Linked DNA regions of Oryctolagus cuniculus. The protein of the gene in region 1 interacts with the protein of each later gene in a pairwise test. Links are inferred from orthologs where the notes say so. Each region holds a gene or a part of one and is shown in the gene's direction. Other genes may lie near its edges. The genes, in order: RAC1, RALBP1, ARHGAP31 and SYNJ2.

Region 1 (4,287 bases):
AGCCCTGGCTGTTGCAGGTATTTAGGGAAGAATCAGCAGGTGGAGGATCTCTCTCTGCCTTTCAAGTAAAATCAAAATAAATGAACAAAGTAAAATTTTAAAAAGGTACATGTGTACAATGGACTAGTAAGCCGCAATTAAAAATATTAGAGATTCAGTATGATTTTTCAATCTTGCCTGAAACATGTTCACTGTGTGTATTAAGAAATATGGAGGCCAGCGCCGCGGCTCACTAGGCTAATCCTCCGCCTTGCGGCACCGGCACACCGGGGTCTAGTCCCGGTCAGGGCGCCGGATTCTGTCCCGGTTGCCCCTCTTCCAGGCCAGCTGTCTGCTGTGGCCCGGGAGTGCAGTGGAGGATGGCCCAAGTGCTTGGGCCCTGCACCCCATGGGAGACCAGGAGAAGCACCTGGCTCCTGCATTCGGATCAGCGCGATGCGCCTGCCACAGAGCGCCGGCCGCGGCGGCCATTGGAGGGTGAACCAACGGCAAAGGAAGACCTTTCTCTCTGTCTCTCTCTCTCTCACTGTCCACTCTGCCTGTCAAAAATAAATAAATAAATAAATAAATAAATAAATAAAATAAAAAAGAAATATGGAGAGGGGCTGGCACTGTGGTGCAGTGGGTTAAAGCCCAGGTCTGAAGCGCCATATGGGCGCCGGTTCGAGACCCGGCTGCTCCACTTCCGATGTGGCTCTCTGCTGTGGCCCGGGAAAGCAGTGGAAGGTGGTCCAAGTCCTTGGGCCCCTGCACCTGCATGGGGACCTGGAAGAAGCTCCTGGCTTTGGATCAGCCCAGCTCTGGCCATTGCGGCCAATTGGGAGAGAACCATCGGGTGGAAAACCTCTCTCTCTCTCTCCATCTTCTCTCTGTAACTCTTTCAAATAAATAAATCTTAAAAAAAAAAAAAAAAGAAATATGATGGAATGAATACTGATTATGGCCCAATAATGGTATGGTTTCTTTTTTTTTCCTTCTTTATATAGCTTCAGCTTCGGAAATTTCTAGAAGGCCCTTATGTCATCGCCTAAGTGACAGTGACCATACACACAGGACAATAAAGAGGTGGGGGAACAACCCACGCCCTTCGGACGGCCGGGCCGGGAGTCGGTGACGTCAGCGCGGTTCCTGGAACCCCCGCCTCCCCTCCCAGTCCAAACCCGGCCGCGCCCAGCCCGCGGGAAAGATGGCGGCCGCCCCGCCCCCGCGGCCGGAGCCGAGCGCTCCCGAGCGCTCCCGAGCGTTCCCGAGCGCTCCCGAAGCCCCGAGGAACCCCGGGAGCCGCTCGGGCGGGAGCGGCCCCTCCCGGAGCCTGGGAGCGGCGGCGCCGGCGCGGGGGAGGGGCGGCCGGATGTGAGTGGAGCGGCCATTTCCTGTTTCTCTGCAGTTTTCCTCCGTTTTGGGTGGTGGCTGCTGCCGGGCTTGTGCCTCCAGTCCGCGGAGGGCGAGGCGGCGTGGACAGTGGCTCCGGCATCCCGCGCCCCGCCGCCCGTCGCCGCGCGCTCGCCCGCCCGTCGCCGCGCGCCCGTCCGCCCGCCGCTTCCCGCCTCAGCGCCCGGCCGCCGCCGCCGCCGCGGCCCAGCGAGCGGCCCAGATGCAGGCCATCAAGTGTGTGGTGGTGGGAGACGGGTGAGTGCGCGGCCGGGGGCTCTGGGGGGCCGGCGGGGGCTCGCCGAGGGTCGCGTGGGCGCCGCGCGGCCTCTGCGCGGGGCTCGGGCGGGCGCCCCTCACCCGCCGTCGTCCCGGGCCGGGTTGCGGCGTCCTGGTGGGGGGAGGGCCCTGCCGCTGGCCGGCCGCGGGCAAGAGTGGACTCCGCCCTCTCGCCGCCTTCCCGGGCCCGCGGGGCGGCCGGACGCCGCCCGCCACCCTGCCCGGCTTGGCACGGCTCTCGGGCGCCTGTGCAAATCATTTTATTTTATTTTATTTTATTTTGGCGAGAAGGGGCCGTTCCCTGGCATTTACCCTAAACCTCCTGGTCGCCCCCCACCCCCACCCCTCCAGCCCGGGGAGCCGGGGCGGGCGGCGGAGGTCCAGTGGTCTGAGTGACCGGAAGCCCAGCGTGCGGCCGCGTCGCTGCCACTTGTAACTTGGCCACTTGTGGGGTTCTTCGACATGGTCGGTGGCGCCCTTGGCGTGGACAAAGTTTGGAAGATGCTGTCAGGGGCCAGGTGTGACGGAAGCTGACCTCCTGCAATGTGGTCGTTATTTAAAAAAATAAATAAAAATAAAAATTAAAAAACCGAGGCCTTGGCTGAGCGCGGCAGGGATGGATGGAGTTCTTTCCAGGACCGCCCGTGGGGGTTACAGGCCCCAGAGGAGGACAAGACCGGTCTTATGCAGTTGTGTGTGTGTGTGTGTGTGTGTGTGTTTTTCCCTCCCTTATAAACAAGAATCCCAGTGTGATCCGAGCAAAATCGCGCGTCTCAGCATTGCTTGTGTAGCTTAGTGTGGGACAGGGACTCTCGAAGAATTACTACCAGTTTCACCCAGCTCTGAATGCAACTGGTCCAAGTCCAGAGTCGGAGGAAGAGTGCGCTGGACACCTCTGGTTCATATCCCAAAAGTGGCCTTCCGACTTTTATCTTTTTTTTTTTTTTTTTTTTTATGCCTCTTAGTGAATGTGTGATCTCTTAGCTTAGAGAACTGATGGGAGACGTTTGAGATTGTTTGTGCATTTCGGATGCAAGGAGGACAGTTAGGACACTGGTTTTTCTGGGGAGATGCATGTCTGTTGGATTCGTGTCACACGTGGGAAAGGTGAACCCTGTATAGTTCTACGTATTCAAATAAAAATTGTTAAATTTCATTTATTTAGGAATGTGTATGCTATGTTACCTTTTTAAAAGAAAACCTTACTTTGGCACTTGGGGAAAAGCGTTCGTGAAGTGGGATTGAAAATGAAGTCAGCGGATTATTTTAAGTGAATTCTTCCATGCTTTTGTGTCAGGCATCAGCAAAACGTCACTTTTTCTTAGGAACGTTTAAAATGACCTGGATTTCCCTTAAAAGTTATAAATGCTCCATCGATTATGCTTAGGATATGCTTAGCTCTCTTTCTAAGTGAAGTTGTGGTAATTCAGAACCGAGGGATGGAATGTAGTATTCTGACTTGAAGGTTTCTAAAGCAGGGACCCAGGGTGTTTGACACGAAGAGCTCCCAGCCCTCTCCTGCTGGTACTGCTGTTCCTTCCAGTGAATACTTGTTGAATGCCTGCTGTGTGTGTCTGTCCTGCCCACATCTCACCACTTAGTTGGGAGGTGTCTGAGAGCACATCACTCCTCCCCTCCCCCAGAGAGGTTCCTCCTTGGGAAGTTCAGTGAAATCATGCAGGGGGCTGGCTGGCAAGCCCCTCCCAGGGGCCAGGCCTCTACTGATTGCCTGGAAGTGACCAGGACCAGCACTGTGTGAGGCTCTGTGAGGGAGTATGAGTATTCAAAACACTGTTCCCGCCCTGGAATTTCCCGTCTGCTTTCTAATTTAATTTTTAAAATTTACTTGAGAGAGAAGAAGCTCCTACCCACCAGCTCACCCCCAACATACCTGTAACCAGCATCTGAGAACCCATTCTAGGTCTTGCTCATGGACAGGAGGGACCCAACTACATGAGCCGTCACCACCACTCCCGGGGTTCACACTAGCAGGAAGCTGGAATTGGGGCCTGCAGCAAGGAATCGAAGCCCGGCACCGCGCTGTGGGGTGCCAGTGTCGCAAAGGCTTGTCCCCACGGTATTTTAATGAGGGTTTGACATTTATGTTGACTCTTGACTGTCTTAAGTAGTATTGGAGTAAAGTGAACTTTTGCCAAAAAAAAAAAGTTACACTGTTACTCTCAGGGGTCATACGTAGCAAACATTTCTTCAGTAAAAATCCAAATCCCAAATTTTCCGTACCAAGAATATATTTCTGCTTTCGACTGGTAAGCTATATTCCTGATGATACTGCTGGAATGTTGTTTTATCAGATTGTTAAAGCTGTAAATATGGCCCCGAGTTTCAGTTAAAGGTGTTTAAACAGTGAAGGCAAAAGGTGGAGATACCACAAATTGGAAGCAAGCTGAGTTTTAACCATTTTATAACTGGGATCAGCTGGCTATTTTTTTTTAATTTAATTTTATTTATTTGAAAGAGTTCCAGAAAGAGGTAGACAGAGAGAGAGAGGTCTTCCATCCTCTGGTTCACTTCCCAAATGGCCACAACAGCTGGAGCCAGGAGTTTCTTCCAGGACTCCCACGTGGATGCAGGGGCCCAAGCACTTGGGCCATCTGCTGCTGCTCTCCCAGGTGCATC
Region 2 (3,564 bases), on another chromosome or scaffold:
GCATATTGAATATGAGATAATGCATGAAAAGGGCTCAGCACACTAGTACACAGCACCAAAGTGTTTGCTTATCTGGACGAGGTTGCTCTCATTTAGTCATGTCTTAAAGATAAGAATACGGAAAGTCAGGGGAGGTGAGAAAACTTTAGCACATGATTACTAAGCTGTAGAACCAAGACTTGAGTCTAAATCTTAGACTTTTCCACTTGTGACTTAGCTGTAAGAAACTGTGCTGTGAGACAGGCACCGCTTGGGTATTCTCTGTCAGAGTGCCTGGGATCCGGTCCTACCTCCACTTCCAACCCAGCTTCCTACTAGTGCACCTGGGAGGCAGTCAATGATGACCCAAGTACTTGGATTCCTGCTACCCACATAGGAGGCTCAGATGGAGTTCCTGGCTCCTTGCTTTTGACACTACCCTGCCATGGCTGTTGTGGGCATTTGAGGAGTAAACCAGTGTATGGAAGTTCTCTGTCTCTCCCCCTCTCTCTTGTCACTCTGCCTTTCAAATAGGTAATTTTAAAAAAAATTTTTTTTAAGTTATTATTTATTTTTTTTTGAGTGATAGTGTTAACAGACAGAGAGAGGGAGAAACAGAGAGAAAAGTCCTGCATCCCCTGGTTTGCTCCCTAAATAAATGGCCACAAAGGCTGGAGCTGGGCAGATCCAAAGGCAGGAGCCGGAGCTTCTTCGCAGTCTCCCACATGGGTGCAAGGGCCCAAGCACTTGGGCCATCTTCTACTGCTTTCCCAGGCCATAGCAGGAAGCTGAATTGGAAGAGGAGCAGCCAGGACACGAACCCAGAACCCATATGGGATGCTGGCACCACAGGCAGAGGCTTAGCCTACTGTGCTACAGTGCTGACCCCTAAATAAATAATCTTTAAAAAACACAGGAAAAAAATGCCATGCTGTGTGTGTGTGTGTGTGTGTGTGTGAGAGAGAGAGAGAGAGAGAGAGAGAAATTGAATAAGAAATTCAAGACTAAATAAGAAATGTGTTTTTATTTACTTGCATGCATATCATCAAATCTCTGCTTGCCTCTCTTCCCTTATCTGCCCTGAACTTCCATTCCTTACTAGTTGATGATGTAGGAGTGAGGGTGTGAATTAGCTCCTACTGAATCAATGTACATTAATGACTGAGAACCTAATTCTCAGGCAAAACAAGTAAGAATGATTTTTTCAGTTATATCCTTGAGAAGATCATTAGTGCCATTATTTCCGTCCTTTAACAATAAGTGAAAATAGTTGAATCTACATCTTTAGAAATCACGATTTTTTAAAGTAAGACATTGGATACTGCTCATTGTGTGTTATTGTTTTCTAGGAGTTTCTTTTGAATTGTTTACATCGAGATCTGCAGGGTGGGATAAAGGATTTGTCTAAAGAAGAGAGATTATGGGAAGTACAAAGAATTCTGACAGCCCTCAAAAGAAAACTGAGAGAAGCTAAAAGACAAGTGAGTTATATTTTAGTACTTTGTGCTTATAGTAAAATATTAAAGAACTGTGCCATTTGTTTTAAAATACAACGTAAGCATGGTTCCTGACGCTCCCTAGTGGGAAATTTACTCAGGCGTTGCTAGTTCTGGATGACTCCTTCAGAACGGTGTCGGATGTTTCATTTTGTGGAGAAAGATCTTCATGAAGAAGGGGGTTTTACTAGAAGGTGTGTTGTCGTTTCCTCCTTGCTTGTACCTCTGAACAAGCTTTCCAACGCTGAGAAGGCCGGATGGTCAGGCATCGTCCGAGATGGACGGCAGGGCAGCGGAGAGGATTGCCGGGAGGGCTTCTGTTCACTTAGCTCCTGGCGCAATGGCAGTACACACGGGCCCCTCATCTCCCTCTAGTATGGGTTGCTTGGTCCCAGAACTGTGAATGTACCAGTAACCCCACAGCTCAAATCTCAGTCTCTGCACTGTCTTACCACCCATGTACAGATTCAGCAGCAACATCCTGTGAATTGGTGCAGGGTCTGTGGGCAGCAGATTTACTGAGCATGGGAGTGGTTGCTGTTGCGTTTGGGCTAATAGTCAAAGGCGGCCGAGTACTTGGGTTGTTCTGAGGATAGAGATTTGTACCTGTGTGGAGGATGTCTTGTCAGAGGGGGCTGTCTCCCTTTGCTGTCAGACCACAGCCAACACAGAAGACCTCTGTGATCTCAGAAGCTGGGGGCTTTTCCTCCAAGCACCAGCTGGCGTCCTCTGATTCAGTGCAGTCTGGCTCTGCTGATCTGGAGACAGCCACACCCAAGGCTGAGGGCTGCGACCCCACGGCCGCCCCCTTCAGATGCCAGCTGCAAGCTCCTCCCCAGCTTTGATGAATTTGCTCAGGTGGCTCACAGAACTCAGGGAAGCACGCTGCGCAGTTTGTTATTAAGGATGCCACAGAGCGGACAGATGAAGAGATGAGTGGGACACAGAATGGGAGAAAGGGCCCAGAGCTTCCACGCCCCCTCCTGGCACCGCTAAGAACCTCCATGCACCCCCACGAATTCAGCCTCCAGAACCATGTCGTCTGGGGTTGGTATGGGTTCTCTGTTGAACAGGCACGGGAGCTGATGGGGAACTGAGCAAGGATGATACACACATGGCAGATAAGCACATGCAAAGATGCTCAACATCGTTAGTCTTTAAGAAAACACAACTTAAAAGCACCATGAGAGGACACTGTACAATAACTAGAGTGGCTAAAACTGAAAGTACCAAGTGTGAGTAAGAATATGAGGTAACGGGAGCTCTCCTATGTCAGTCCTGGTAATGCGAAATGGTATGGCCACTCTGGAAGCCAGTTTGGCAGTTTGTTGTAAAGGTAAACATACATGAGTTACTGTGTGACCCAGCAATTCTACTCCAAGGTATTTATTCAAGAGAAAATAGCCTACACCCTCACAAAGCCCTTGTGAAATGCTCTTAGCAGTTCTAACAGCTAAAAACTAGAAAGAACCCAGATGGCCTGTTTGAGCTGGTCAGTGTGTAAACAAATTGGGATATTACCAGGTAATTACTGATATAGCCAACAAAATAGATGGCTCAGAAAAGCATTGTGTTCGGCAAAAGAAGACAGATGAAAAAGCCTATTTAGTGGTTGATCCATTTCTGTGAAACTCAAGGAAAGGAGACCCTGTAAGTAGTGCAAAGCAGGTCAGTGGTTGCTAGGAGCCAGCAGCTGGAGGAGGAGCCCCAGGGGCTCATGGGTGATAGGAAAGTTCTATAGCAGATGGTGGTGGTGATTCCTCAACTGTGTATATTTATCAGAACTGAATTGTACATTGAACATTGCTACCCCTGGCACCTCCACCCTGCAGAGTATGGCAGAAGGCAATTTGTGTGGAAGATAGGCACATTAGCCAGAATTGAACATGCGCCACAATGCAACCATGAACTAATGACCCCGTATTAAGTTCCCAGCCCAGTTGAAAAATATCCATTCATTGAGGTGGAAGGAGGAGGAAGAGCCTGGCTGGGTGTTAATGTGCATCTGTTGAATATGTCTTACCTACATACTAACTAGTTCCTTTTCCGTTTCTCTTACTGGACAGGAGTGTGAAACCAAGATTGCACA
Region 3 (4,042 bases), on another chromosome or scaffold:
TCCACTCAGCAAACTTTGAAGGAATGCTCACGTGTGTGCGTGTGTGTGCGCGCGCGCGCGCGACTGTGTGTATGAACTTGAATCTGTAAGCAGAAACTTGATTTCCTGGGCAGTGGTTACCCAGCTGCGGCTCTCGTTGCCAAGGGTGATCCGCGCCCCCGCGTGGCCTGGGGGTTCACGGGGCTCGAGGTCCCGAGCCAGCGCGGCCGGGGTGGGGGTGGGGCGGGGAGTGGTCGCGGAAAACCGCTGCCTGTCAGGTTTCTCCGCGGGAACCCCGTCTTTGTTTCTGTCACTACTCCTGAGGTGTTTGTGGAGGAGAAAGGCAGGCACCGAAATAGAAAGTGTCAGGGATGCGATGACAATGAGGGGCAGACTAAGGGAGCACTTTCTGAGGGTCCCAGCCAGCGCCCGGCCACCTCCTCCTGCGCGCTTCAAAGAGCCGCGCGGGCGGGAAGCGGGTGGCGCGGGCCGCGGCTCCTCAGCCGCGCGGCGATTTCCTCCCCACGCCGGGAGTTACCTCGGGAGTCGCAGCCCGGCTCTCAGGAGAGCGCGTCCTCTCCCCCACCCGGTGCTCCTCAACCCACCCACCTACTTCCTCCGGTTCCATACACGCAGCTCAGAGCTGCCAAAAATTTCCACCCTCCGCCCCCCTCCCTAGCTAACTTCCTTCCAGCGTTTCCTGAGCTGGATGAGCCTAGGATTTGTAAGACAGGAAAAAAAGGAAGGCGTGAGGGCGGGCGAGAGAGACGGGATGCTTGTTTTTCGCTCCACCGAAGCCGCCTGAAGGCACGACCGCTGGCCAGGGCGGCGGACCCACAGCAGCCCCCGGGCTGTCTGCTTGCCCCGCGCCGGAGTGCCGTCCGGGCCCCCGAGGAAGGCGGACTCGAAAACTCGCCCTCCCCCGCCGCGGCCGAGGAAGAGCGCCGCAAGACGCCGCAGCCCGTGAAAGTCCCCGGGACTCCCAGTGAGGAAGTGACACTCCCAAGCCGGCCGCCCGCAGCTGCCAGCCCTGCTCGGCCTCCGGCGCGGCGGCCCTGGAGGCGCGCCGCGTGGATTGCAGGCTCGGCTGGCCCGGCCCGCCCGCCGCCCCGCGGGGTCCATGCGCAGCGCTCCCGCCCCGGCTCTCGCCTTGGCCCAGGCGGCACCCCAGAGCCGCGCTGCGGCCGGTAATCGGAGCCGGGAGACCATCTTACCGCGGTGCCAGGCAGTGGGGAGGCGAGACGGAGGGGCAGCCTCTTCGGGACTAACTCATGAAGAACAAGGGTGCCAAGCAGAAGCTGAAACGCAAGGGAGCCGCCAGCGCGTTTGGCTGTGACCTGACGGAGTATCTGGAAAGCTCGGGACAGGATGGTAATGGGCCTTCCCCTCCCTTTTCCCCTTCTTTTTGTTTGAGGGAGAGATGGATTCTCTTGGGGTGTGTTCGATTTAGTTCACAAGTTAATGTATTCCAGACCTCGCTATACCTTAAGAAAAAAAAAGAAAGAACAGATGACTCTTAAGGTGCACAGCGCTGCCACTGTGACGGGCAGGGCTGTCAGTCCTGGCGTGGGTCGCACCCCAGCCGTTAAATGGGCGGTGCTGCCCCGACTTTCAGCGGCCACCTCCGGGCTGGGGGTGGGAGCGGGGTGCCTGGAGGGATGGCCGAGGAGTGGACAGTGGGATGGTGGGCGGGGGCTGCGCGACCTCCTGGGCGCTCCGATTTCATCTGCTCACATCTTTTTATATTAATGTGCTAGAAGGCAGTGGGGTGCGGTGGGGTGCGGTGGGGGCGGGGATCCTGGGCGGGGGCGGGGGTGGGGAGTGGTTACACAAACATTTTCTGAATTTCTAAGCTGATGCCACATAGATAGTCCCCCCCCCCCCATCTCTTTTCCCAACCCCCAGACCTTTTAGCTCCTCTCGGCTTTCAGATTAACCTGTGATATATCAGACAAGAAGAGGGTTGTAGAAAGGTCAGAGGGCCTCGAATCTGAAATAGTTGAGGATACAGAAGAGAAAAGGAGAGCATCTCTGTTTTCGAGGGCAGATTGGGAGGCAAGAAGGAATCCAGCAAAGGAGAGATAATTTAAACATTTGTTGGGCGAGGAGGAAAGAAAGCAATTCTAGCATACAAAAACAGTATTTGAGGTTAGAAGTTTTTCATCATAGGAAAGTTGGGAAAATTGAGCATTAAATGACTCCTTTTGTAAGGTTGACTGACCCTGCACTTACCCATGACAAAAAGGCCTTGTCTGCAGAAACTTCAGTTAGAGAAAAAATAGCGCACTCTTTATGAGCGGTGTGTTTATACATAGATAGATATAACAAAGGGGAAAATGTAAGGGCTGTGCAACTGTGCAGATTGATTCTGCCTCCAGGAAAATAATCCCCCAACGACCTGATTAGTCCATATCAAATAAGCATCTCAAAAACAGCGCAATACTTCTCTTTCATACACACACACACACCCTTTTTTTTTCCCAAAAGACTCAGCACCACCTAGTAATTTGCAGTGGTGTGATATTCCTGTGGTATTCCGGGGTTCACAGTCAGCCATGTCATTAGGACAAATGGCTTAGTATTTTAGAGCTTGAGGAAACACAGGTTTCCAAGCTTCTCTTTTGAAATCGAGGTATAACTGAGCCAATTCACTTTATCTTCATCAACAATCTGGAGAGGTAGATTTGAAGTAGAATTGCTCAGATTAAGGTCGGTTTTTTTTTTTTTTTTGAATGTGAAAGAACTCCCAAGTATGCGTTTTAACCACTGCTGTCAGTAGTTCAGGATGAGATATTTCCCTCCTGTTTGTGTATGGTCTTCCTGTTAACGTCCAGGTACACTAGGAATGCTTTTAGATGCCATCTTCTACCGTGTGAGTGCTATTCTGGGCCCTCCCTCCAGAGCTGGGATAGTGGCGTAAGGGTACTTGCCAGCCCTGCCTCATTCTTACAAAGTCTTTCATCATAGGAAGAGCCAGAAGCCCAGAGTTCTGTGAACATATCTCAAAGGCACCCGTAGGCAACTGTTCTTTCACCTGCTTTATATTTTGGGTTTTGGCACATGTTTCATTTAGGGGAAAAAATGTCCCAGGGTGAGGGTGGGGTTGGGAGGGAATTTACCGCTTAAAGAAAAAAATGGAAAACCGGTAGCCAGTGTTTCCCACCTTGGGGAGGAGGAAAGAAGGCCCAGAGAGGTAAATTGACCTGCCCAAAGTCTTGCAGTGAAATCATGATGAGGCCCTGGCCTGTTAGGCTCCTTTCCCCTCCCTGGCTTCCATGTCTGAGCAAACATTCCAAGTCAGAGAACTTTCAAAAATTGAACATATCTGAGTAGAGCTGAGCTTTGAAACTGATCCATGTACATATCCACACACCGTTTTTGTATGACATGGAAATTAGGCACATGTAATAAGCAGCTGATATAAATGAAGAGTAATTAGGGTTTTTATTTTCCAACAACTAAAGCTGGTTAGATAGTTTTCCCTTATTTTTTTGTTGTGAAGTGTCAGTAAATAAAGCCAATGTTGGTGGTTTTTTCCAAAACAAGGTAGCCTCCCCATGGACTTTCTGAAATCCTTATTGGCTACTAGACAAGGCCCAGATTCGGCTTCTAGCAAGAAAGAGCTGAGCTGGGCATTGCCCCTTTGCAACCGCCTTGGAAATTCAGACCAGAATGCTAGGGCTGGCACGTCAGTGTGGCAACTAGAATCCAGGAGGCTGAGGACAGCTCCTCAAAAGTGACGTCATGGTCACTGCACTTTAGGGACCAAGAGCAGGGTTGATGGACCTGGGTAAAAATCAGGACAGGTGGACTCTGGTTTGGGAGCACAAAGACAGAAGGGAAGAGATGCAGAGAAACTATGAGAGCCCCTGTGCTTGTATGGAGAAGAAGAGACCCACGCTGGGGTGGAGGACAAAGCTGGTGACAGTTTGCTGTGCTCAGGCCAGCTGAACACAAGGCAGCTAAACACCTGAATGGGAACTCCGAGAGGACAGAGACTGAGCACCGAGCCTGAATGAAATCCATTTCTGTAATTTGCTGAGGTCCAGCTCTGCTACCTTCA
Region 4 (2,697 bases), on another chromosome or scaffold:
TTGAGAGGTAGTGAGGGGTGCAGGGGAGATCAAAATCTCCCATTTATTAATTCATTCCCCAAACGCCCACAACAGCCAGGGCCGAGCTGAGCCAAAGCCGGGAGCTGGAACTCAGTCCAGGTCCGTCCGCAGCGGCTGGGGGGGGGGGGGGGCGGGGAGCGGCAGGGACCCAATCCCTGCTGCCTCCCAGGGTCCGCATTAGCGGGAAGCTGGAGTCAGAAGCTGAGGCTGGGTTTCCAACCCAGGAATTCCAGTGTGGGCCGTGCTGTCTTCACCGTGAGAAGGGATTGTTTGCTGTTTTTTAAAGATTTTATTTATTTATATGAGAGGTAGAGTTGCTGTCTATCTGAGAGGAAGAGACAGAGAGAAAGGTCTTCCATCTGCTGGGTCGCTCCCCAGATGGCCACAGTGGCCAGAGCTGGGCCGATCAGGAGCCAGGAGCTTCTTCTGGAGCCCCCACAATGGTGCAGGGGCCCACGCACTTGGGCCATCCTCCACTGCTTTCCCAGGGCATAAGCAGGGAGCTGGATAGGAAGAGGAGCAGCCAGGACCCCATATGGGAAGCTGGCACTGCAGGCGGAGGCTTAGCCTACTGTGCCACAGCGCTGGCCCCAACAGGGGAAATTCTGAGACGCCGGTGCTTAACCCGGACAGCCCCTCCGTATGGGAGTACTGCACTGCACACTCGTCTCCTTCCCGAGCAGGGCAAGTCCCTGGGCAGGTCAAGTCCATTCTTCTCCTTGTATTGAGAATTATATGGGGTTTTCTAAAAGTGCATGGAAAATGTGCACTTCTGGGTTTCTGTACCAGAATAAGCTTACCTTTTAATTCATTTTCCCTTGAACTTTTGAGGGGTAGCTTCATTAGCCGGGACTTGAACCAGGGCCCCTATGGGATGCTGGCACTGCAGGTGGCAGCTTTACCCGCTACGCCACAGCGTAGGCCCCTAGCCAGCCCTTCAGGGAGCTTAGCACTATCATGGGAGTGGCTTCACCTGAAGGGGCGCGTGCTGTGTGAACCACCAGCCAAGCCGCGGCCTCGGAGGAGCACCTTCGCCCAGAGGTTCGCTTTGAGTCACAGAAGAGCACAGCCCCGTTCGCTAAGAAAACTCTGGAATGTTGCACTATGGCTCTGCTTTTAAAATCCTCCCTGGCCTCTCGTTGCGTGTGCTGGTTTGACGTGCCCTTGTGTGTTTTCTCCTGTGTGTTCCCCCCTCTGGCCACACTGCCAGCGTCCAGACATTCTCAAATCTCGAATTTGCTGGAATGTCACCTCAGGCTCGTCCCTCCCCCCCGCTGACAGCTTCGTGTTCTCTGGTCCTCGACTTGCACGTGGCGGCTTCCCAGTCACATGTCGTGTCTTGCTTTTCTCAGCCCCTGTCGCCCGAAGAACAGCTTGATCAAGAAGCAGTCCGCTTCACAGTCGGGCCCCCGGAGACAAGCCTGGAAGCCCCTCCTCCGGGGACCGCCCCTCGAGTCCCCCCTGTTCCCAGACCAAGGACATTTCAGCCTGGCAGAGCCGCAGAGAGGCCGCCCAGCGGTGGAAAGCCGGCACCGGGCACAGGTGGTCCTGTGGCAGGCAACACCTTGCTGTCACCGCCCGAGGTCCCGTCTCTCGTGCCCAAGGTGCCCCCAAGGAGGAAGAAGTCCGCGCCGGCGGCCTTCCACCTGCAGGTCCTGCAGAGCAGCAGCCAGCTCCTCCAGGGCCTCACCAGTGATGCCAGCGGCCATGACCATGACCGTGACCGTCCGCCGGGTCGCCAGCCTGAGGCCGACGCTCTCTTTCCCCAAGTGCATTTCCTTGGCCTTTCCTCTGCCACAAGCCCCGAAACGGACGGTTCCGAAGTCACGAAGCCGGAGGCAGCCTCCCTTCTGGGTGAGTATCAGGACCCCTTCTGGAACCTTCTGCACCATCCTAAGCTGCTGAATAATGCCTGGATTTCCAAGAGCTCCGGCCTCTGGAACTCAGAGGCCAGGAGCCCCGAAAGAGCTGACCCCGGCCCGGAGCTGCTGCCACACCAGGACCAGAACGCCTCCGGTCACTGGGTGGCCATCAGTGACAGAGACAAGAGGACGACGCTGCAGGCGTTTGACCCGCTGGCAGAGACCTGACCCGGGAGCTCCACAGGCGGCCCGTGTGGGACGGGCTCCCTTGGCCCCTGTAGGCAGCACTTCCCCAGGTCAGAAGAGGGCTGTTTAGAGACACGCTGAAAACAACACGTGTGTGTGTGTGTCACTCTCGTGTAGCTGACAAAAGTTGTGTGTCTCCTCCAATAAGATGATTATTCAGCCACCGAAATACGATCGACTCCAAGTGTGTACATAAAATGTTTGCCCTCGGGGGGATGGGACCTGCCGTTAGGTTCAGCACGCGGATTCTATGGCAGGAAGTCAAGCTGGCAAGGCCCACGGCGTTCTCTCGCCCGTTCTCTCTCTCTGTGAGTGTCTGAGGTGGGGCTTTGGTTTGTGTCCCGTTAGTGTGTTCTGGATTTGGAACAGCTTTGCGATGGCCTCCCTGAAGGTTGATGCGTAAAGTGCGGATTACGCGAAAGGTTGCTTGGGACCACGGACAGCGATGTCTGGCCCGCTGAAGCCAGCTTGCAAAAAGCCCAGAGTTAGAAGTGGCAGACAAGGCATCCAAGTGACAGGACCATGCATCCACGCGAGCGTGTGTGTGTGTGTCCCACAGGAGCCGGTG

The links.
Region 2: the proteins of RAC1 (region 1) and RALBP1 interact in a two-hybrid assay, tested with the Homo sapiens proteins (2 studies listed by BioGRID, with this or other methods). The link is inferred for Oryctolagus cuniculus from reciprocal best matches to the Homo sapiens genes RAC1 and RALBP1.
Region 3: the proteins of RAC1 (region 1) and ARHGAP31 interact in a two-hybrid assay, tested with the Homo sapiens proteins (2 studies listed by BioGRID and IntAct, with this or other methods). The link is inferred for Oryctolagus cuniculus from reciprocal best matches to the Homo sapiens genes RAC1 and ARHGAP31.
Region 4: the proteins of RAC1 (region 1) and SYNJ2 interact in a two-hybrid assay, tested with the Homo sapiens proteins (2 studies listed by BioGRID and IntAct). The link is inferred for Oryctolagus cuniculus from reciprocal best matches to the Homo sapiens genes RAC1 and SYNJ2.

Annotation. Positions count from the first base shown.
Region 1 is NC_091450.1:40,075,952-40,080,238, reverse strand, and holds the start of RAC1 (ras-related C3 botulinum toxin substrate 1), read left to right. Parts: upstream 1-1,451; 5' UTR 1,452-1,594; coding exon 1,595-1,629; intron 1,630-4,287. UniProt on the Homo sapiens protein: Plasma membrane-associated small GTPase which cycles between active GTP-bound and inactive GDP-bound states.
Region 2 is NC_091441.1:66,680,718-66,684,281, forward strand, and holds part of RALBP1 (ralA-binding protein 1), read left to right. Parts: intron 1-1,328; coding exon 1,329-1,460; intron 1,461-3,541; coding exon 3,542-3,564. UniProt on the Homo sapiens protein: Multifunctional protein that functions as a downstream effector of RALA and RALB. As a GTPase-activating protein/GAP can inactivate CDC42 and RAC1 by stimulating their GTPase activity.
Region 3 is NC_091435.1:75,801,059-75,805,100, forward strand, and holds the start of ARHGAP31 (rho GTPase-activating protein 31), read left to right. Parts: upstream 1-1,211; 5' UTR 1,212-1,250; coding exon 1,251-1,350; intron 1,351-4,042. UniProt on the Homo sapiens protein: Functions as a GTPase-activating protein (GAP) for RAC1 and CDC42. Required for cell spreading, polarized lamellipodia formation and cell migration.
Region 4 is NC_091436.1:9,655,612-9,658,308, reverse strand, and holds part of SYNJ2 (synaptojanin-2), read left to right. Parts: intron 1-1,373; coding exon 1,374-2,111; 3' UTR 2,112-2,697. UniProt on the Homo sapiens protein: Inositol 5-phosphatase which may be involved in distinct membrane trafficking and signal transduction pathways. May mediate the inhibitory effect of Rac1 on endocytosis.